Anolis sagrei: one gene and its partners. The protein of the gene in region 2 purifies or fractionates together with the protein of the main gene of each other region. This does not show direct contact. Links are inferred from orthologs where the notes say so. Each region holds a gene or a part of one and is shown on either strand. Other genes may lie near its edges.

What was found.
Region 1: the proteins of VAPB (region 2) and LSG1 purify together in Homo sapiens (affinity purification with mass spectrometry; 3 studies listed by BioGRID and IntAct, counting the BioPlex papers as one, with this or other methods). This does not show direct contact. The link is inferred for Anolis sagrei from reciprocal best matches to the Homo sapiens genes VAPB and LSG1.
Region 3: the proteins of VAPB (region 2) and OSBPL10 purify together in Homo sapiens (affinity purification with mass spectrometry; 4 studies listed by BioGRID and IntAct, counting the BioPlex papers as one, with this or other methods). This does not show direct contact. The link is inferred for Anolis sagrei from reciprocal best matches to the Homo sapiens genes VAPB and OSBPL10.

What each region holds. Positions count from the first base shown.
Region 1 is NC_090023.1:274,191,182-274,198,271, forward strand, and holds the start of LSG1 (large subunit GTPase 1 homolog), read right to left. Parts: upstream 3,095-7,090; 5' UTR 3,079-3,094; coding exon 2,971-3,078; intron 1-2,970. UniProt on the Homo sapiens protein: Functions as a GTPase. May act by mediating the release of NMD3 from the 60S ribosomal subunit after export into the cytoplasm during the 60S ribosomal subunit maturation.
Region 2 is NC_090024.1:228,270,384-228,278,135, reverse strand, and holds the start of VAPB (vesicle-associated membrane protein-associated protein B/C), read right to left. Parts: upstream 3,028-7,752; 5' UTR 2,502-3,027; coding exon 2,444-2,501; intron 1-2,443. UniProt on the Homo sapiens protein: Endoplasmic reticulum (ER)-anchored protein that mediates the formation of contact sites between the ER and endosomes via interaction with FFAT motif-containing proteins such as STARD3 or WDR44.
Region 3 is NC_090026.1:81,780,231-81,787,870, forward strand, and holds the start of OSBPL10 (oxysterol-binding protein-related protein 10), read left to right. Parts: upstream 1-4,546; 5' UTR 4,547-4,738; coding exon 4,739-5,037; intron 5,038-7,640. UniProt on the Homo sapiens protein: Probable lipid transporter involved in lipid countertransport between the endoplasmic reticulum and the plasma membrane.

The sequences.
Region 1 (7,090 bases), on a different chromosome or scaffold from region 2:
GGTCTACTCTCCTTCCTTCTCTCTCTACCAGGTCAATCTCCTTCCTTTCCTGTAGTTTTCCTTTCCTTATTGTGATTTTATATCGCACTGTGTGTTTGCTTTGTATTGCTTTTTGTATTTTTTGTATTTTTATTATATTTTATTGCTGTATTATTGAGGCTGTATATTTGCATTGTTGCAATTGCTGGGCTTGGCCTCATGTAAGTCACCCTGAGTCCCCTTGGGGAGATGATGGCAGGGTAAAAATAAAGTTTATTATTATTATTATTAGTTTGCAGCCATTGTTCCATTGCGTTCTAGTCTCCGGGGCAGCATAAAGGAAGCCTGCTCCCCCTTCCCCCTCGGGCTTCTCTTCACATCTTGATCCCTGGCCCTCACCATCCTGCCTCGTCTCATCCTTCTCTTCTGCAGGCTACACTGTGCCGTCGCGCCTGAGGCTATAGCTCGTAGAAAAGGAGGCATGAACGTGACATCTGTCCCCAGGGGATTGCTTCTTGCCCTCCTTTAGGGAAACTAAAACTTCCAAGGACCAGAACACAACAGGTAACTCGAAATGATATTCATTGTTGACAATGAGTTATCTTTCTTAGGCACAAACTTGATGTTTCAACAGGGAAAAATACTTTATAAACTTTAAAGTCCAGGGTCCTAGGAGTTTTTAGCTGAGAAGCTTTTCCTGTTTCCCTCTCTCTCAATGGCTGTGAATATCGGAATACACACAACCCCAGTTCAATGGCCTATGTTGAAGGACAAGACCTTCCTCTGGTGCCAAAAGAACGGGAATGAAGGCGCCTGAGATCTTCACAATTTAATTCAGGATGGTCTGATCATAAAGGATAAGACTCAGGGGTAAAAAACCTAAGATAACATACACACTTGGTCCTGCTACAACTTATTGCTCCTAGTCTCCAGAGCAGCAGAAAGGAAGCCTGACCCCCCCTCCTCCCTGGGACTTCCCTTCCCTGTTGGGGTTTTGGGGGGGGGGGCAATTCATAGCCATGGGGCACGTGTGCCTGTATTCCCTCCCCCCATGGCATCTCCACGCTGGTCCCAGGCCTACAGAGACCTGGCAAGAGCGAAGCCCCCACCACAAAAAGGAACCTTAAAATTGCATTATGGAAGTGTTAAAAATCCTGGAATCCTAGAGTGGGAAGAGACCTCCTGGGCCCTCATCCAGTCCAACCCCATTCTGCCAAGAAGCAGGAATGTTGCATTCAAAGCACCCCTGACAGATGGCCATCCAGCCTCATAGAATCCTAGAGTGGGAAGAGACCTCCTGGGCCCTCATCCAGTCCAACCCCATTCTGCCAAGAAGCAGGAATGTTGCATTCAAAGCACCCCTGACAGATGGCCATCCAGCCTCATAGAATCCTAGAGTGGGAAGAGACCTCCTGGGTCCTCATCCAGTCCAACCCCATTCTGCCAAGAAGCAGGAATGTTGCATTCAAATCACCCCTGACAGATGGCCATCCAGCCCCTGTTTCAAAGCTTCCAAAGAAGGAGCCTCTACCACACTCCAGGGTAGAGAGTTCCACTGCTGAATGGCTCTCACAGTCAGGAAGTTCTTCCTCATGTTCAGGTGGAATCTCCTCTCTTGTAGTTTGAAGCCATTGTTCCATTGCGTCCTAGTCTCCAGGGAAGCAGGAAGGAAGCTTGGTCCCTCCTCCTCCCTGTGGCTTCCTCTCACATACTTATACATGGCCCTCATCCTGCCTCGTCTCGTCCTTCTCTTCTTCAGGCTAAACATGCCCGGCAGCTCCTTCAGCCGCGCTCTCCTCTCGGGGCGTGTACTCCAGGCCCTTGATGCAGGAGAAGCACGTTCAAAGCAGTCCTGGAAGATGGCCACCCAGCCTCTGTTGGAAAGCCTCCTGCTTCCTAACTGAAGCTCACCGATACATCAGCCAGGCCTGGCCCCACTTCGGCTCTCCTCCGGGGGTTTTGGACTCCAACTACCGGCTGTGAGGAAGGGTGGGAGCTGGCATCCGAACCCGCGGAGGAGGACCGGAGTGGGCCCGGCCTATCCTTGAAGACGCCAAGCCAAAGCCCAGCAGTATGTCTCTCTTTCAGTTCTTGTGGGTTTTTTCGGGGTATATGGCCATGTTCTAGAGGCATTCTCTCCTGACGTTTTACCTGCATCTACGACAAGCATCCTCAGAGGGAGTGAGGTCTGCTGGAAATAGGAAAATGGGTTTATATATCTGTGGAATGACTGGGGTGGGGCACAGAGCTCTTCTCTGCTGGAGCTAGGTGTGAATGTTTCAACTGACCACCTTCATTAGCATTTGAAGGCCTGGCTGAGCCTGGGAAATGTTTTGTTGAGAGGTGTTAAGATGTGCCTGTTTGTTTCCTCTCTACTGTTTTGCTGTTGTAATTTTAGAGTTTTTTTAATACTGGTAGCCAGATTTTGTTCATTTTCATGGTCTCTTCCTTTTTGTTGACATTGTCCACCTGCTTCTTGTGGATCTCAATGGCTTCTCTGTGTAGCCTCACATGGTGGTTGTGAGAGTGGGCCAACATTTCTGTCTTCTCAAATAATCTGCTGTGTCCAGGTTGGTTCATCAGGTGCTCTGCTATGGCTGACTTCTCTGTTTGAAGGAGTCTGCAGTGCCTTTCATGTTCCTTGATTCGTGTTAACACCTCCCAGCAAGAGATTTTCCCAGGCTCAGGCAGGCCTTCAAATGCCTTCAAATGCTAATGAAGGTGGTCAGTTGAAACCTTCCCACCTAGCTCCAGCAGACAAGAGTCCTTTGCCCCACCCCAGCCATTCCACAGATATACCAACCCTTTTTCCTAGTTCCAACAGACCTCACTCCCTCTGAGAATGCTTGCCATAGATGCAGGCGAAATGTCAGGAGAGAATGCCTCTAGACCATGGCCATATAGCCCGAAAAAACCTACAACAACCCAGGGATTCCGGCCATGAAAGCCTTCGACAAGACATGTCTCTCTTTCTTTCTTTCTCTCTCTCACCCATCCGGGGTCTCCCCGCTGCTTCCCCCCGCGGCCCTGTCCCCGCTCTCGGAGGAGGGCTCTCCCCAGGCCCGGACCCCCCGACGCCGCGGCCTTCTTCTTGCCCATGTTGCTGCCCGAGGAAGGAAGGAAGGGGACCGCTTTCCCGGAGCACGCCGCGCGGTCACGTGGCGGCAGCGGCGCTCGGCCAATGGGAAGGCGCGCCTCCTGCGCGTCGCTCTTCAGGCTCCGGGTGGAATTGCTCCCCCGCGCACATGGGTACCGGGACGTTGCTGCCCCCAAGAGGCCGCCAGGAGGCGCCAGGCCCTCGCCGGGAGAGAAACAGCCAGAAACAGATATTAAGCAATCAAGGCCAGCTAACACCTCGCAACAAAGTATTCTCCCAGGCAGGAAGCAGCCAGGCTTTCAAGCTGCAAGGCCATTCATAGAATCCTAGAATCCTAGAGTTGGAAGAGACCTCCTGGGCCATCATCCAGTCCAAACCATATTCTGCCAAGAAGCAGGAATATTGCATTCAAAGCACCCCTGACAGATGGCCATCCAGCCTCTGCTTCAAAGCTTCCAAAGAAGGAGCCTCCACCACACTCCCTCCGGGGCAGAGAGTTCCACTGCTGAACGGCTCTCACAGTCAGGAAGTTCTTCCTCATATTCAGATGGAATCTCCTTAAACTCTATTCCCTTCAAATCACCCCTGACAGATGGCCATCCAGCCTCTGTTTCAAAGCCTCCAAAGAAGGAGCCTCCACCGCACTCCGGGGCAGAGAGTTCCACTGCTGAACAGCTCTCACAGTCAGGAAGTTACAGAATCCTAGAATCCTAGAGTGGGAAGAGACCTCCTGGGCCATCATCCAGTCCAACCCCATTCTGCCAAGAAGCAGGAATATTGCATTCAAATCGCCCCTGACAGATGGCCATCCAGCCTTTGTTTCAAAGCTTCCAAAGAAGGAGCCTCCACCGCACTCCGGGGCAGAGAGTTCCACTGCTGAACGGCTCTCACAGTCAGGAAGTTCTTCCTAATGTTCAGATGGAATCTCCTCTCTTGTAGTTTGAAGCCATTGTTCCGCGTCCTAGTCTCCAAGGAAGCAGAAAGGAAGCTTGCTCCCTCCTCCCTGTGGCTTCCTCTCACATATTTATACATGGCTATCATATCCCCTCTCAGCCTTCTCTTCTTCAGGCTGAACATGCCCAGCTCCTTAAGCCGCTCCTCATAGGGCTTGTTCTCCAGACCTTTTATCATTTTAGTCGCTCTCCTCTGGACACATTCCAGCTTGTCAATATCTCTCTTGAATTGTGGTGCCCAGAACTGGAGCTGATCAAGGTGGCCAATGGCAACATTCAACATGATGTAGGTATCTGCATAAAGAAACAGGCATTAAGCAATCAGGGCCAGCTAACAGCATGAAGCTGTGTTTCTGGCATTGGAGAGGGATTGGCTGGTGAATGCTGGAAGAGCACTTTGGTTTCCTTGATGTTCAATGACAGGCTGAGCTGCTTCTCGTATGCTTCTGCAAAGGTGTTGAGAGTGGCTTGTATGTCTTCTTCTGAATGCACACAGACTGCGTTGTCATCAGCATACTGGAGTTCTATAACAGGATTCTCAAGAAAGGCCCATGCCCTTCCTTCCACGTGGCCAGACAAGGCAGCTTCTTCATCATGCACTGCCACTGTATTGCACTGAAAACCAAAACCAAGGTCACAACAACATCTGTTATAGAACTCCAGTATGCTGATGACAATGCAGTCTGTGCACATTCAGAAGAAGACCTACAAGCCACTCTAAACACCTTTGCAGAAGCATACGAGAAGCAGCTCAGCCTGTCATTCAACATCGAGAAAACCAAAGTGCTCTTCCAGCAGTCACCAGCTGATCCCTCTCCAATGCCAGAAACACAGCAACAGTAGACAATGTGGACCATTTCCGCTCCCTTGGCAGCCCCCTCTCCACAAAAGTCAACATCGACACTGAAATTCAACACCACCTGAGCTCTGCAAGTGCAGCATTCTTCATCAAGTTAGAAGGGACGCCAAAGGCCATCAAGTCCAACCCATGTTTGCCAGGAAGACAGGAAGACACAATCCAAGCCCTCCCAACAACTCAGACAGACTCCCAGGAAGCTGCAGATTCCACTGGTGAACAGCTCTGGCCAGAAGGAAGGTCTCCCAAATATTCAGGAACTTCTTTTGTTGCCAATGCTGAGTGAAGCCGTGTCTTTCTACATCCTGCAATCCTGGTTCTTTTGACATGGGACTCTGCCAAGGGAACAACGGGCCCAGAGCTAGAGGTTGTCATGATCTCTCGATCATGCCATACAACTGACACAAACCACGTGGCCATGGGACATTGGGCCAAAAGGAAATGCAGGACAAATTGGGGCAGCCATAAAACTTAGCTGCCAAGGGTGAGGGAAGAACTGGGCTTTGATATGGGAGGGGTTTGATGTGGTAATGGGACTAGGTGCCAAAGGTAAGGGAGGAAATGGGCCTTGAGATGGAAAGGCTTTGAAATGGTAAAGGCACCAGGATACCTGAAAACATGATTTATGGTATGGTAGTTAGTACTATATAAGAGGCCTGTAGTTGAAGCTCTTGTATTCCTAACAATAAACGTGTGGATGTCTACTCCACTTGGGATTCTCTGCGTGATCCTTCGGAGGAGATTTCTCCAGAGCCACACCGCTTGGAACTGAGATAACTGACAGAGGTCTGATCTCAAAGGATTTATTCTGAGAACCAGCTTATCTATCCGAACGCATCTCTTCCTACGAACCCACCAGGAACTTGAGATCGTCCGAGGAGGCCCTGCTCTTGATCCCGCCTGCTTCGCAAGCATGTTTGGCAGGGACGAGAGACAGGGCCTTCTCTGTGGCGGCCCCTCGCCTCCCTGCTTAGGGATATTAGATCAGCCCCCTCCCTCCTGACCTTTCGAAACAAAGTGAAAACCTGGCTCTTCGAGCAAGCATTTGGAACCTCAGGATAAACAGACAAACCTGAATCGGAAAATGACCCAGGAACGATGGTTAAGACGATGGAACGGATGAGGATTTGAACGAGAGGACATAGTTTTTAATTTTATTATTATTCATTGTTTTTATGTCTCTAAACGTACTATAATGTTTCTTTTTTGCTTTTTATCAATGTATGTATTTTATATATGGCATCAAATTGTGCCGACTGTGTATGCTGTCCTGAGTCAACTTCGGGCTGATATGGGCGGGACAGAAATAGTGTAAATAAATAAATAAACCAACATCTTGTTCCCCAACCAGCCTGGATAGTGGCTGTGCACCATGGTATCTTTAGAAGCAGATAACCTGAGGGTCAGGAATGCAACTGTAGGGGCAACAAAACCAAAATATTTCCCAAAAGGCAGAAGCCCCCTTTCCAATAGGGAGGGCAAGGATGGACACCACGAAAGTTGAATCCTTTAAACTGCAAAAAACTATTTATTATTGCGTGGCCATAGCAATAACGACAAACAAGCATACAGGGATGCAATCAAAGGGTTTGTCGCAACCCCCAAGGGGGCTGCAGAGCAATTATAGTAAATGGAATATACATTTTCATTGGTTCCCAAAGACAAATCATTTCATTAGTCTAAGCTAGCTATGCAGTTGTTCATTAGTTGTTTATGATTTTGATTGACATTATAGCACACGTGGGATTCTAACAATGGCACAACTATAACATAACTATGGTCCATTGTTCTCTGACCATGACTGTATCTTATCTGTTAGTCTGTTGCAAACATGGCTTCAGAGCGACTGGGAAACTTGGGGGTTCTATCTAGCAAACAGCTAGCTGGTTTTGTCCGGATATGTTGTTACCCTTGAATAGTAACTTCTTCTTTGGAGCACTGATTTCTCAAACAATCAGCATTTTCTGTGAACAAAGGCCTACTGCAGAAATAGGCCAATATGGCAGTAAATCATGACATATGGGCATTGGGAATATATCTGAAAATTACCTTTTTAAAACCACGTCCCCTCCACAACTGTTTCCACCTGTTACTGATGAAGGACAACAACAACAACAGCAACAATAATCTTTTATTTGTATACTACTCCATCTCCTCGAGGGGACTCAGGGTGGTTTCCAGCATAGGTAAAGGATTCAGTTACAA
Region 2 (7,752 bases):
TCGCTCCTGACATGGAAAAAAAAGTGGCCAATGGATTTAACCCATTTCCGTTTGGAGAATCCACGCCAAAATAGAAAGTCTAATAATGTGACACCATATCCATCAGATACCTAAATGAGCACCAAACAAAATGCTTTCAGCAGCCTTTAGCAAACTTGAGTAGAAAACACCCTTAGTGGAGATATTGGGGCTTACTTCTAAATAAGCATAACTGAGGTTGGACCTGTTATCTCAACCAACGGGAGAGAACAGAGTTGTCAGGAAACATTGTCATTGCAACATGGGTGGGTGGCTTCTTTCCTTGTATAACATGGACCTGGCAGCACGTCTCCACCAAAACATGGTTTGTGCAATACATAGCTTGGTTGGGGTCCATTGATTGTTTTCCCCTTAATATGAAGGAAATAATCACGCATTTTAGGCCCTTAAGATTTCCCTGAGGCTGCTTCTTCATAGTATCTAACATCACACAAGCGCAGCAGATTCCTATGCAACCCAACCCACCCACCCTGCAACCGTAAGGGATCCTGGGCACCTCAATCCTCAAAGGACTGCCCACAAACTAAGACCAAGAAACACAAGGGATGGAGAAAGAACCAGGCTTCGTCTGAAAGGGAGCTTTTCCAGGAAGGATTTTGCCTCCCCACCAAAGAAGAATGAAGGTGCAAATCCAAAGGAGAGACACTGAAGAGAAGGATGAAGGTGCAAACCCAAAGGAGAGACAGTACCTCCTTGATTCAGAGGAAAGGGGGATTGGACTGGAAGGCCCTTATGGTCCTTTCCAAAGTTTATGATGCATTATATGGAGAGTACAAACTCACAGGAGACCATATAATGCAGTGTTTCTCAACCATCCTAATGTCACAACCCCTTAATACAGTTCCTCATGTTGTGGTGACCCTCAACCATAACATTATTTTCGTAGCTACTTCATAACTGTAATTTTGCTACTGTCATGAATCGTCATGTAAATATCTGATATGCGGGATGTATTTCCATTCATTGAACCAAATTGAGCACAAATACCCGTTACACCCATATTTAAATACTGGTGGGATTGGAAGGGGGATTGATGTTGTCATATGGGAGATGTAGTTGCTGGGATTTATAGTTCACCTACAATCAAAGAGCATTCTGAACTCCATCAACGATGGAATTGAACCAAACTTGACACACTGAACTCCCATGACCAACAGAAAATACTGGAAGGGTTTGGTGAACATTGACCTTGCATTTGGGAGTTGTAGTTCACCTACATCCAGAGAGCACTGTAGACTCAAACAATGATGGATCAGGACCAAATTTGGCACGAATACTCAATATGCCCAAATGTGGACACTGGTGGAGTTTGGGGAAAATAAGACTGTGACATTTGGGAGTTGTAGTTGCTGGGATTTATAGTTCACCTACAATCAAAGAGAATTCCGAACCCCACCAATGATAGAATTGAACTAAACTTGATATACTGAACTCCCATAACCAACCGAAAACACTGGAAGGATTTGGTGGGCATTGTCCTTGAGTTTTGGAGTTATAGTTCAGCTACATCCAGAGAGCACTGTAGACTCAAACAATGATGGGATCAGGCCCAAATTTGGCATGAATACTCAATATGCCCATATGTGAACACTGGTAGAGTTTGGAGAAAATAACTTGACATTTGGTAATTGTACTTGCTGGGATTTATAGTTCACCTACAGCCAAAGAGAATTCTGAACCCCACCAATGATAGAATTGGGCCAAACTTCCCATAGGGAACCCCCATGACAAACAGAAAATACTGTGTTTCCTGATGGTCTTTGGCGACCCCTCTGACACCCCCTTGCGACCCTCTCCCAGGGGTCCCGACCCCCAGGTTGAGAAACACTGCATTATATGGAGAGTATAGATTCACAAGAGTCCATATAATGTATGGTATGGTGGTATGGCAGTGGAGATGAGGCCCAAGGCTTTGGTTCTCTAGAAGGAGGCTTCTGCTGTGTGCCATCCTCGCCCTCCTGGCCACCGCACCAACCCAAAGGAAGGAGAGATTGCGCAGCGGCTTTAAGCAGAGAGGGAGAGGAAAGAGGGCTGGGAAAGGAGGGAAAGGAGGGAGGGAAAGGTAGCTCAGGTCCCCCCCGTGCTTTTTCCACTAAGGACATTTTAGGAGGAGGGAGGGGAGGAGGAGGAGGGCGAGCCCCCGGAAAATGGCTGCCGCTGGAGCTGAGCCCTTTTTGGCACCGCAGCAAAGCGCGCCGCTGCCTCTCCTGCCTCCACCCCGGCGCATCGGATTATATCCTGGCCGATCTAGACAGATATCTTTCGGTTTAAGGGAGGGAGAAGCAAGGGAAGGGGCAAGAGGGGGAGCCAGGCTGTCCCCCGGCCGAAGGAGAAGCCCAAAAGGAGGAGGAAAAGGCGAGGAAGCAGCTCAGGTTAGGAAGGAAGCAGCCCCTCTCCAAGTTACCTTTGAATTTGAGCTCATGCTGCGGCTCCAGGCTCAGGACCTGCTCGGTTTTCGCCATGTTTCTTCTCCTCCTCCCCTTTCCTGCTGTTGCTGTTCCTTCCTCCTGCTGTTGCTTTTGCTCCTCCTCTTCCTCGGGAACCAAAAAAAAGATCTCTATATGCAGAGCTGTCTTTATTAATTATATATGTATAATATATAGGAAAAAAGCAAGAGTAAATCCCCTTTGCGCGCGCAGAGAGAGAAGCAGAACACAGGCGCGCATGCAAAAGGGGCGCGCGTTTTCGCCCTCCTTTTTGTGCAGGAAAGACGCCCTTTCCCCCTTCTTTTTTGGGGGGAAGGAAGGAGGAAAAAGAGAGAGACTTTTCCTTCTTCTCTTCTCTTTCTCACTCTCTCTCTTTTGGGCAGGGAAGGAGAGAGAAAGAGGCTGAGCCGGGCGCGCTCCCAGGGAAAGAGGGAAAGGCGCTGCTGTCCTGCGTTGCCCGGCCCAGGAAGGAAAGAAGGAAGGAAGGAAGGAGGGAAAGGAGGAGAGGAGGATGGGAGGGAGGGAGGACGCTGCAGCAAGGAGAGAAGGAAGGGAGGAGGAAAAAGAGGCGGGGCGAAGGGGAGCTGCAAGCTGACGTCTCCGGAGAAGGAGGAGGAGAAGGAGGAGAAGCAGCCAAGCCCACCTCCACCTCCTCCCTTTTCTCCCCAAGGAGGCTGCCCAGGAAGACAGGAGGAGGAGGAAGAAGCCGCGTTGATTGGATCTATTTAATTATTCATTGCCCTTATTTTTCACCCGCCTTTCTCCCCATAGAGAGACTCCAGCAAACCATCACAAAAGTGATTTAAAGATGTGATAACCAGGCATAGGCACACTTGGGCCCTCTAGGTATTTTGGACTTCAATTCCCACAATTCCGGCTAGGAATTGTGGGAGTTGAAGTCCAAAACACCTGGAGGGAAGGCCCAAGTGTGCCCATGCCTGGGCTAACCTAAAATATAATAATAATAATAATCTATATAAATAAAAATGTAATGAAACAAAGATGGCAGGGACCTAACAGAAGCTGAAGAGATCAAGAGAAGGTGGCGAGATTATACAGAAGATCTGTATAGGAAGGATAATAATATCGAGGATAGTTTTGACAGTGTGGTGAATGAATTAGAACCAGACATCCTGAGGAGTGAGGTTGAATGGGCCTTAAGAAGCATTGCTAACAACAAGGCAGCAGGAGACGACGGGATCCCAGCTGAACTGTTTAAAATCTTAAAAGATGATGCTTTCAAGGTGATGCATGCCATTTGCCAGCAAATATGGAAAACACAAGAATGGCCATCAGACTGGAAAAAATCAACTTATATCCCCATACCAAAAAAGGGAAATGCGAAAGACTGCTCCAACTTCCGTACAGTGGCCCTTACTTCTCATGCCAGTAAGGTAATGCTCAAGATCCTGCAAGGAAGACTCCAGCAATACATGGAGCGAGAGTTACCAGATGTGCAAGCTGGGTTTAGAAAAGGCAGAGGAACGAGAGACCAGGTTGCCAATATATGCTGGATAATGGAGAAAGGCAGGGAGTTTCAGAAAAACATCTATTTCTGCTTCATTGACTCTTCTAAAGCCTTTGACTGTGTGGATCATAATAAATTGTGGCAAGTTCTTGGTGGGATGGGCATCCCAAGCCACCTTGTCTCTCTCCTGAGGAATCTGTACAAGGACCAAGTCGCAACAGTAAGAACTGACCACGGAACAACAGACTGGTTCAAGATTGGGAAAGGCGTACGGCAAGGCTGCATACTCTCACCCAACCTTTTTAACTTGTATGCAGAACACATCATGCGATGTGCGGGGCTGGATGAATGCAAAGCTGGGGTAAAAATTGCTGGAAGAAACATTAACAACCTCAGATATGCAGATGACACCACTCTGATGGCCAAAAGCAAGGAGGAGCTGAGGAGCCTTCTAATCAAGGTGAAAGAAGAAAGCGCAAAAACTGGGTTGCAGCTAAACGTCAAAAAAACCAAGATTATGGCAACAAGAATGATTGACAACTGGAAAATAGAGGGAGAAAATGTGGAGGCCGTGACAGACTTTGTATTTCTAGGTGCAGAGATTACTGCAGATGCAGACTGTGGCCAGGAAATCAGAAGACGCTTACTTCTTGGGAGGAGAGCAATGTCCAGTCTCGATAAAATAGTAAAGAGTAGAGACATCAGACTGGCAACAAAGATCCGCCTAGTCAAAGCCATGGTATTCCCTGTAGTAACCTACGGATGTGAGAGCTGGACCTTAGGGAAGGCTGAGCGAAGGAAGATCGATGCTTTTGAACTGTGGTGTTGGAGGAAAGTGCTGAGAGTGCCTTGGACTGCGAGAAGATCCAACCAGTCCATCCTCCAGGAAATAAAGCCCGGCTGCTCACTGGAGGGAAGGATACTAGAGACAAAGCTGAAGTACTTTGGCCACATCATGAGGAGACAGGAAAGTCTAGAGAAGACAATTATGCTGGGGAAAGTGGAAGGTAAAAGGAAGAGGGGCCGATCAAGGGCAAGATGGATGGCTGGCATCCTTGAAGTGACTGGAGTGACCTTGAAGGAGCTGGGGGTGGTGATGGCCGACAGGGAGCTCTGGCGTGGGCTGGTTCATGAGGTCACGAAGAATTGGAGACGACTGAACGAATGAACAACAACATAAATATAAATAGATGTATAAATATCTGGGCATGCTACAGTTGGACACTATCAAGCATGGGCATGTAGAAAATGGTCAGCAAAGAATATATCCAAAGAGAAAGGTTTTGAAGAGCAAATTAAATGGCGGAAATATGATCAAGGCTATCAACACCTGGGCCTTCTCCGTCATTAGATACACTGCTGGAATTGTGAACTGGACACAAGCAGAGCTGGGTGATCTGGACAGAAAAACAAGAAAACTCATGACAATCCACTACGCATTACACCTGTGTAGTGATGTCGACAGACTTTACCTGCCCAGAAAATCAGGAGGCAGAGGGCTTCTGCAAGTGAAACAAATGGTAGAAGAAGAGAATCATGCACTGGCAGATTATGTGAAAGGCAGTCAAGAACCAACATTGAGGGAAGTCAATAGTAGTAAACTGCTTTGAGTGCAAAAGACAAAGAGTAAATATCATAAAAACACAATCCAGAGCAGAAGAGAAGACTGGCAAAAGAAGGCTCTCTATGGACAATTCCTGGGAAAAATTGAGAGCCAAACTGACAAAGAAAAAACATGGCTGTGGCTCACAATTGGAACTGATTCTGGCAGCCCAAGAACAAGCCATTAGAACAAATGCCATCAAAGCCAGAATTGAAAAGTCGACGACAGATCCCAAATGTAGACTCTGCAAGGAAGAAGATGAAACAATAGATCACATCCTCAGCTGCTGCAAGAAGATCACACAGACAGACTACAAGCAGAGGCACAACACCGTTGCTCAGATGATTCATTGCCACAAATACCATCTGCCTGTGACAAAGAACTGGTGGGATCACAAGCCGGAAAAAGTTACAGAGAAAGAACACGCCAAACTCCTCTGGGACTTCCGGATTCAAACAGACAGAGTTTTGGAGCATAATACTCCTGACCTCACAATTGTGTTAAAAAACAAAGTATGGATTGTCAGTGTCGCAATCCCAGGTGACAGCAGGATTGCAGAGAAACAACTGGAAAAGCTGACATGATATGAGGATTTAAAAATCGAACTGCAAAGACTCTGGCACAAGCCAGTCAAGGTGGTCCCAGGGGTGATCGGCACATTGGGTGCGGTGCCTTAAGACCTTGGCCTGCACTTAAACACAATCGAGGCTGAGAAAATTACCATCTGCCTGCTGCAGAAGGCCACCTTACTGAGATCTGCATGCATTATTCGCCAACACATCACACAGTCTTAGACACTTGGGAAGTGTCCGACGTGTGATCCAAATACAACAGCCAGTAGAGTGATTCTGTTTGCTATGTTTCAAATAATAATAATAATAATAGATCCATTTAGTTTTCTTGGCATACTGGGGTGGGTTGCCATTACCTTCCCCAGAGATCGTGTTCGGTCTGACCTTTCTGCCATGACTGTTCCATCTTGGGTGTCCCTTCACGGTTTCACTCGTGGCATCATTTAAGTGCTCAAGCTGCTGCATCACGGCAAGGTAACGATCCTTTCCGGGACAAGGATATGTCAAGGCTGTATACTTTCACCTAACCTATTCAACTTGTATACAGAACACATCTAATGAACAAAGGTTGACAGCTACTATTCAGTATGTTTAGAACCGCAGCCTTACATCTCTGCTAAGAAGGGAAATGTCATTTAATTCTATGGGACTTACTCGCAAATGTGTAATCGCCTTCGGGCTGATATGGGCAGGATAGAAATAATGTAAATAAATAAATAAATGTGCGGGGCTTGACGAATTCAAGGCTGTAGTTAAAATTGCTGGAAGAAACATTAACAACCTTAGATATGCAGATGATACCACTTTGATGGCCAAAAGCAAGGAGGAGCTGAGGAGCCTTCTAACCAAGGTGAAAGAAGAAAGTGCAAAAGCTGGGTTGCAGTTAAACATTTTTTTAAATAAAAGATTATATCAACTGGACTGATTGATAGCTGGAAAATAGAGGGAGAAAACATGGCGGTAGTGACAGACTTTTTATTTCCAGGCTGAAGACTGCAGAAGACATTTACTTCTTGGGAGGAGAGCAATGACAAATCTCAATAAAATAGTGAAGAGTAGAGACATCAGGCTGGCAATGAAGATCCGCATAGTAAAAGCAATGGTATTCCCCTTAGTAACCTATGGATGTGAGAGCTGGACCATAAGGAAGGCTGAAGGAAAGAAGATTGACACTTTTGAACTGTGGTGTTGGAGGAAAATTCTGAGAGTGCCACGAGAAGATCCAACCAGTCCATACTCAAGAAAATAAAGCCCGACAGCTCATTGGAGGGTAGGATATCAGAGGCAAAGATGAAGTACTTAGCCATGTAATAAGACAGGAAAGCTTGGAGAAGACAGTGATGCTGGGGAAAATGGAAGGAAAAAGGAAGAGTGGCTGACCAAGGGCAAGATGGATGGATGTTATCCTTGAAGTGACTGGCTTGACCTTGAAGGAGCTGGGGGTGGCCATGGCTGACAGGGAGCTCTGGCGTGAGCTGGTCCATGAGGTCACGAAGAGTTGGAAGCGACTGAATAAATGAAGAATAAATTATTATTATTATTTGAAAAAATCTTTATTTGTACCCCACCACAATCTCAACTCACTCCTGACATGAAAAAAAAAAACTGCATTGGCAATCCATAATATCCGTATACCAAATTTGC
Region 3 (7,640 bases), on a different chromosome or scaffold from region 2:
TTCAAAGCCAGCCCAGAGTGGAATAAGCTCCTGACCATTAATAGCCTAGCATGCCATCAACCTATGCAGCCTGAAAGACAGTTACATCTGTCAAGTAGGAAATTTAGTTACCATGTTATGCAGGGAGGCTAATTTAACTAATTTACAAGGCCATAAAACCTCCCAGAAGTGTGCAGAAGAATGAGCAAATACTCCATCAAAGGACTCAGTGTCACAACTGGGCGGTGAAGCGGCAGCTCCCTCTGTGGCCGGAATCGAGCATACCCTCATGAAGCCGGAAAAGCTGGAATATTAAATTGTCTCTCTGCCTGTCTATATAGGTTGTATGTCTAAATGGCATTGAATGTTTGCCATGTATATGTGAATTGTAATCCACCCTGAGTCTCCTGGAAGGTGAGAAGGGCGGAATATAAATACTGTAAATAAATAAATACTGTAAATAATGCTGCTGCCTCAGTGAACTACAATTCTCAGGGTTCCATAATATCGACTCATGGCAGTTACAATGGTGTTACAATGCATTAATTCTACAATGTAGATGTACCCCAAGCAACAAGTGCATGTTTGTAATCCTAAAGGTAAGTAAAGATAGCAATCTTATACATAAAAATGCCTACAAGCTAAAGTACAAAAGTTTGTTTCTGAGTAATGACATGTACTGGAGTGAACTCTAAGATTGTATCCATATCACAACCTTATTTATTTATTTATTTATTTGCTCAATTTATATTCCACCCTTCTCACTCTGAAGGGGACTCAGGGTGGATCACAGAACACATATATCGCAAACATTTAATGGCAATTATACAATGACAAGACAGACAACAGATAGAGGTATATCTAAGCTTTCCTATCTTTCGGCATTTTGGAGGCTGTGCTTGGTTCCGGCCAACGGGGGATGCTGTCACTCTATCTCTCTGCTGAAGAGCTTTCTTTTGTTCATAAATATTCTCCTTTTTCTGATTGAAATGCCATGCCTAAATACCTCCCCGCTTTAACACGGTACCTATTTATCTACACACATTTGTTTTGGATCTGCTAGGTGGGCAGAGAGCTGGGCTAAAGGAGCTCACCCTGACCCGAGCTTTGAACTGTCAATCTTCCGATTGGCAAGATTTATTGCAGCTGGTGGTTAACCTACTGTGCTAAAGCCCGGCTCTTGATATCACTTGAACTGCTTTGGTTCAATGCTATGGAATTATGGGATTTGTCTGGGGAGGCCCTGCTCTCAATCCCGTCTACTTCACAGGAGTATCTGGCAGGGACTAGAGACAGGGCCTTCTCAGTGGTGGCCCCTCGGCTGTGGAACTCCCTTCCCAGGGATATTAGATCAGCCCCCTTTCTCCTGACCTTTCAGAACAGGGTGAAAACTTGGCTCTTTGAGCAAGTGTTTGGAGCTTCAGCGTGACCAGATAAATACAAAATTGTAATACGAACACAGAATGGCCAAGACGATGAAAACTGATGAGGAATTAGTCTGGATGACACTGTTTTTTAATAGATTTTTATAGTTTTTATGGATTTTATATGTATGAGGGTTGAATAAAAAGTAATGCCCCCACCTTCATAACTCCTCAACAGATGGCAGTACTGGTATGCGGCAGGTACTGGCTTGTTCAATACACTCTCCTCTACTGTTCCATTTTGGTGGGAAGCCTTAGCATTAAATGGTTGTGTTGTTAAAGTGCAATGTATGGAACCCTGCGCAGACACTCGGTCAATGCGACTTAAGCAACGTGCAGTCATTGAATTCTTAACAATAGAAGGTGTCACCTCCATATCTTTAAACTTGGTCACCCAATGATGCTCAGTACTCACATCAACACAATCACCATAAACGGCTGATGAATCTCCTTTGGGGTGACACCTTCTGCTGTCAAGAATTCAATGACTGCACATTGCTTAAGTTGCATTGACCAAAGTCTGTGCAGGATTCCATACTTTGCACTTTAATAACATAACCGTTCAATGTTAAAGCTTTCCGCCAAAATGGAACTGTAGAGGAGAGTCTATTGAACAAGCCAGTACCTGCCGCATACTAGTACTGTCATCTGTTGAGGAGCTATGCCCTCGTATTTATGATGTGATTTAATTGATTTTAACAGATATATGCACACACACACACACACACACACACACACACACATATATATATATATATGACATCTAATTGTTGCTGGTCTGTATGCTGCCCTGAGTTTCCTTCAGGCTGAAATGGATGGGATAGAAATGATGTAAATAAATCTATATAAATAAAAATGTAATGTTTGTTTGTGGGATTAACAGAACTCAAAAACCACTGGACGAATTGACACCAAATTTGGACACAAGACACCTAACAACCCAATGTATGTCCTTCACTCAAAAAAAATTAGATTTTGTCATTTGGGAGTTGTAGTTGCTGTGATTTATAGTTCACCTACAATCAAAGAGCACTCTGAACCCCACAAATGATGGAATTGAACCAAACTTGGCACACAGTTCTCCCATGACCAACAGAAAATACTGGAAGGGTTTGGTGGGCAGTGTCCTTTGGTTTTGTAGCAGTAGTAGTTCTCCTCCAGAAACTTTGCATGGCTGCCACAAATTATGATGACAAGAGGTCATGGAAATTTGTCTAATAGATTGATCAGTAAACATATTCATGGGTTCCCTGCTGTTATAGTAAGCCTGTTACCCATGCTACGACATGCTTGAAGTCAACATTACATTTATTTGTAATTAGAAATGTTTCACAATATATAAAATAAATGTTTAACAATCTTCCCGTGTAAACTATAGTTCGGCCCTCCAACAGTCTGAGGGACAGTGACCTAGCCCCCTGTTCAAAATGTTTGAGGACCCCTGTCCTAGAATATCAAGACAAAAAATCTGACATTATCTTAATGTGGATTCAGATAACCCAATTCAAAGCAGATATTGTGGGATTTTCTGCCTTGATATTCTGGGATATAGGGCTGTGTGGAAGGGTCCTAAAAGATCAGGATTTCAGCTCCTATTTATCCTTGGAAACAGGCCCGGAGCCAGGATTTTGATGGGGGTGGGGTGGGGGCTGAGTCTGAGTGAAAGAGGGTCTACCCTAGCAAACCTTTTGTATTGTTACCCTAATATTTATTATTTATTTATTTACTTTATTTCTATACCGCTTTTCTCAGCCCTTAGGCGACTCAAAGCGGTTTACACAACAATGCAAAATATCACAAAACAGTATAATGCAATTAAAACAGATTATAACATAACAATTAACAACAGTATAACAATCATAACGCCTCAACAATAAAATCAGAATCCACTCTCATTATCCATTGTTCCGTATTCCTATTTTCAATTTCACTGTTTAGTCAAACGCTTATTCGAATAGCCAGGTCTTCACCTTCCTCCGAAACGGCAACAGCGAGGGGGGGCGATCTGATGTCTGCAGGTAGGGCATTCCACAGCCGAGGGGGCCACCACTGAGAAGGCCCTCCCCAGATGATCTTAGTGTCCTGGTCGGTTCATAGGAGGAGATGCATATGGGATATATTGAGCATGTTGATCAGATCATGATATGAATAAACATAACAGTTTACATAATGTACCAGTAAGCAGGGCCGTAGCCAGAAAAAATTTTTGGGGAGGGTTGACAATTTCGGAGGAGGGGGTGGTTGAAAATTTCGGGGAGGGTTGAAAATTTCGGGGGGGGGGGGGTGAAACCTGCCTCCTAGCTCACGCTGAAGCAAAGAGCACAGCAGGGATCAGAGCAACCTTCAATAGCCTGCAGCTCCATCCCTGTCAACCACCTCCACCAAGTCTGGCCTCCTTAATGAGAGCATTCAACACACACATCCCCAACTTGGTTGCTTCACTACATTGGCTATTGCTGCAAGTAATGACAGTGTGAATAAATTGTCAATATTTGCTTGAGATAGTGCTTACAGTTCTGGAGGGACTCTAAATTGTTTGCATCTCATAGACTTAGCATGGGGATTTGGTTGACCAGTTAAAATTCATGAGTAAACCAGGTTTTTTTAAAAAATCTGAAACATTTCAGGGGGGGGGGTTGAACCCCTAAAACCATCCTCTCGCTACAGGCCTGCCAGTAAGGCCTTCTCGCGGACCACCATGAGAATTTGGGGGGGGGGGGGGCTGAAGCCCCTCAAGCCCCCCCCCCCTACATGCCTGCTTGGAAACCAACGGGAGAGGTCACACACTCTCAGCCTAACTAAAGCAATGGCAAACCCCTCCCCTGAAAAGATCCTGCTAGGAAAACTCTAAGGGCCCTTCCACATAGCTCTGTATCTCAGAATGGTGTCGAATAAAGGCAGCTTGACGTTGTTCCAATGAGAGTTTGAGTTAGAGAGGCACCAGAAGAGGCTCAAGACCTTGTAAGAGCCGGACCCTCAGGATTTCCCAGCAGTGAGCAGGCAGTTGTAAAGGAGTGTCAAACCGCATTAGTTCCAAAGAGTGGGCACCCTCCCACCTCCCCCCCCCCTCTCTCTCTCCGGCGCGCTTTGAGCCTCGGAGGGGCGTGTCGGGAGGCGGGGCCACCGAAGCCCCTCCCTCTCATTGCGAAGGAGGGTCGTCCCTTTCCCTTTGGCCCTCCGGGAAGCAAAGGAGGAGGAGGAGGAGATCCGCAAGGCAGAGGGCGGCGGGGTGGGTCTGAGCCGGACGTCGAGGAGAAGGAAGCAGGGGAGGCTGTGGCGGGTCTCTCCCTTTTCCCTCCTTTGCGGATGAGTCAGGTATTTCTCCCCCGAGCTCCATGGAGAAGGCGCAGAGCAGCGTCGGCGCGGAGGGGAACAACAACAACAGCGGAGGAGGAGGAGGAGGCAGCAACAGCAGCAGCCGGAGCAGCAGCCGGCCCCCTTCCGCGGGATCCTCTCCGTCCTCTTCGGCCGGGAGAGGGCTGCCCAACCGGAGGCCCGAGGGAGGAGGAGGAGGAGGCGGGAGTGGGAGCAGCCCCGGTTCGGCTGCAGCCAGCCCGGGGGCCAGGAGGACGGAGCCGGCGCTGGAGGGCAGCCTCAGCAAATACACCAACCTGCTCCAGGGCTGGCAGAGCCGGTAAGGAAGGCGACAAAGAGGATGGAGGCAGGGGAGGACTGCCTTCTCTCCTCAGGTGCAGCTTTTTCCTTTGCCACCTTTGCCCACTTTTTCCCGCCCAGGTCCAAACTTGGGCCCTCCAGGTGTGTTGGAGTCCAACTCCCACCATTCCTCACAGCCTCAGGCCCCTTCCTTTTCCCCCTCAGCCGCTTAAGCGGCTGAGGGGGAAAAGGAAAGGGCCTGAGGCTGTGAGGAATGGTGGGAGTTGGACTCCAACACACCTGGAGGACCCAAGTTTGCCCATGCCTGCTGTATACACTTTGACACCACTTTCCTCAATGCATGTTGTGGAGTTTGGACAAGCTCTCCAGCCTTCTCTGCTGGTGCCTCACCCAACTCTTTTCCTCCTCCATGGCAGTTCAAGCTCTGTCTTAACTACATTCACAAGATGTTTTATAGAATCATAGAGTTGGACCATCCAGGAATATTACATTCAAAGCACTCCTGACAGATGGTCATCCAGCCTCTGTTTAAAAGCTTCCAAAGAAGGAGCCTCCACCACACTCCAGGGCAGAGAGTTCCACTGCTGAACAGCTCTCACTCTCAGGAAGTTCTTCCTAATATTCAGATGGAATCTCCTTTCTTGTAGTTTGAAGTCATTGTTCCACTTCTTACTCTTCAGAACAGCAGAAAACAAGCTTGCTCCCTCCTCTCTATGACTTGCTTTCACATATTTATACATGGCTATCATGTCTCCTCTCAGCCTTCTCTTCTTCAGGCTCAACATGTCCAGCTCTTTAAGCCGCTTCTCATAGGACTTGTTCTCCAGACTTGATCATTTTAGTCGCCCTCCTCTGGACACATTCCAGCTTGGCAACATCTGTCTTCAATTGTGGTGTCCCGAATTGGACACAATATTCTAGGTGTGGTCTAACCAAAGCGGAAGAGAGGGGTAGCATGACTTCCCTGGGTCTAGACTCTATACTTCTATTGATGCAGGTCAAAATCCCATTGGCTTTTTTTGCCGCCGCATCACATTGTTGGCTCATGTTTAACTTGTTGTCCATGAGGACTCCAAGTTTTTTGTAGTAATAGTAATTTCCTTGATTAGCCCATCAGCCGCATCAAAACACTTGACAATCACATTCGACACATACAGCATACAACCCACAGTACAACAAAGTTAAACAAGCTGGGTTGTTGTGAGTTTTCTGGTCTGTCTGGCCATGTTCCAGAAGCATTCTCTCCTGACGTGTCGCCCACATCTATGGCAGGCATTCTCAGAGGTGGTGAGGTTTCTGTGAGTTTTCTGGGCTGTCTGGCCATGTTCCAGAAGCATTCTCTCCTGATGTTTTGCCCGCTTCTATGGCAGGCATTCTCAGAGGTGGTGAGGTTTCTGTGAGTTTTCTGGGCTGTATGGCTATGTTCCAGAAGCATTCCCTCCTGATGTTTCACCCACATCTGCAACAGGCATCAGAGGTTTTGAGGTCTGGGTTGCTGTGAGTTTTCTGGGCTGTAGGGCCAAGTTCCAGAAGCATTTTTTTCCTGACATTTCACCCACATCTATAGCAGGCATACCTCTGAGGAATCCTGCCATAGATGGGATGAAACATCAGGAGAGAATGCTTCTGGAACATGGCCATATAGCCCGGAAAACTCACAGCAACCCATTAATTCCAGCCATGGAAGCTTTCGACAACTCATGAGGTCTGTTGGAAACTAGGCAAGTGGGGTTTATATGTCTATGATATGTCTAGGGTGGTAGAAATAACTCTGTCTATTTGAGGCAGGTGTGAATATTACAGTTGGCTACCTAGATTAACATTTAATGGCCTTGCAGCTTCAAGTTCTGGCTGCTAACTGCCTGGAGGAATCCTTTGTTGGGAGAAGATTAGCTGGTTCTGATTGTTTCCTGACTGGAACCCCCCTATTTTGGAGTGTTCTTTATTTACTGTTTTTATTTTAGCGTTTTTTTAAAACACTGGCAGCCAGATTTTGTTCATTTTCATGGTTCTCTCCTTTCCGTTGAAATTGTCCACATCCTTGTGGATTTTGATGGCTTCTCTGTGGAGTCTGATGTGGTGGTTGTTAGAGTGGTCCAGCATTTCTGTGTTCTCAAATAAAACAGAGGAATTCCAGACACGAAACAATCAAGGCCAGCTAATCACCTCCCAACAAAGTATGGCCAATGCAGCAATTCACACTTGCCTCAAACAGACAAGAGTTTTTTCTCCCACCCTGGACATTCCACAGATATATAAACCCCACTTACCTAGTTTCCAACAGACTTCACCGCTTCTGAGGATGCCTACCATAGATGCAGGCAAAACATCAGGAGAGAATGCTTCTGGAACATAGCCATATAAGCCCGGAAAACTCAAAGCTACCCAGTGATTCCAGCTATGAATGCCTTCAACAATATGATAAACAAGCTGTTAATAAGGAATCAAGATCCCAATCCAGATTCAATATCTTCATCATCCCTACAGTTTACCCCAGTCAGCTCCAAATACGCAGTTCTCAGCTGAGCTGCTTTATATAAAAAAAGGGCCATTTAGTGTGTTATTTTAGCATTATTTAGCAATCAAAATGTAGTTTTAATATAAGGATCCCAGTGTGCCTTT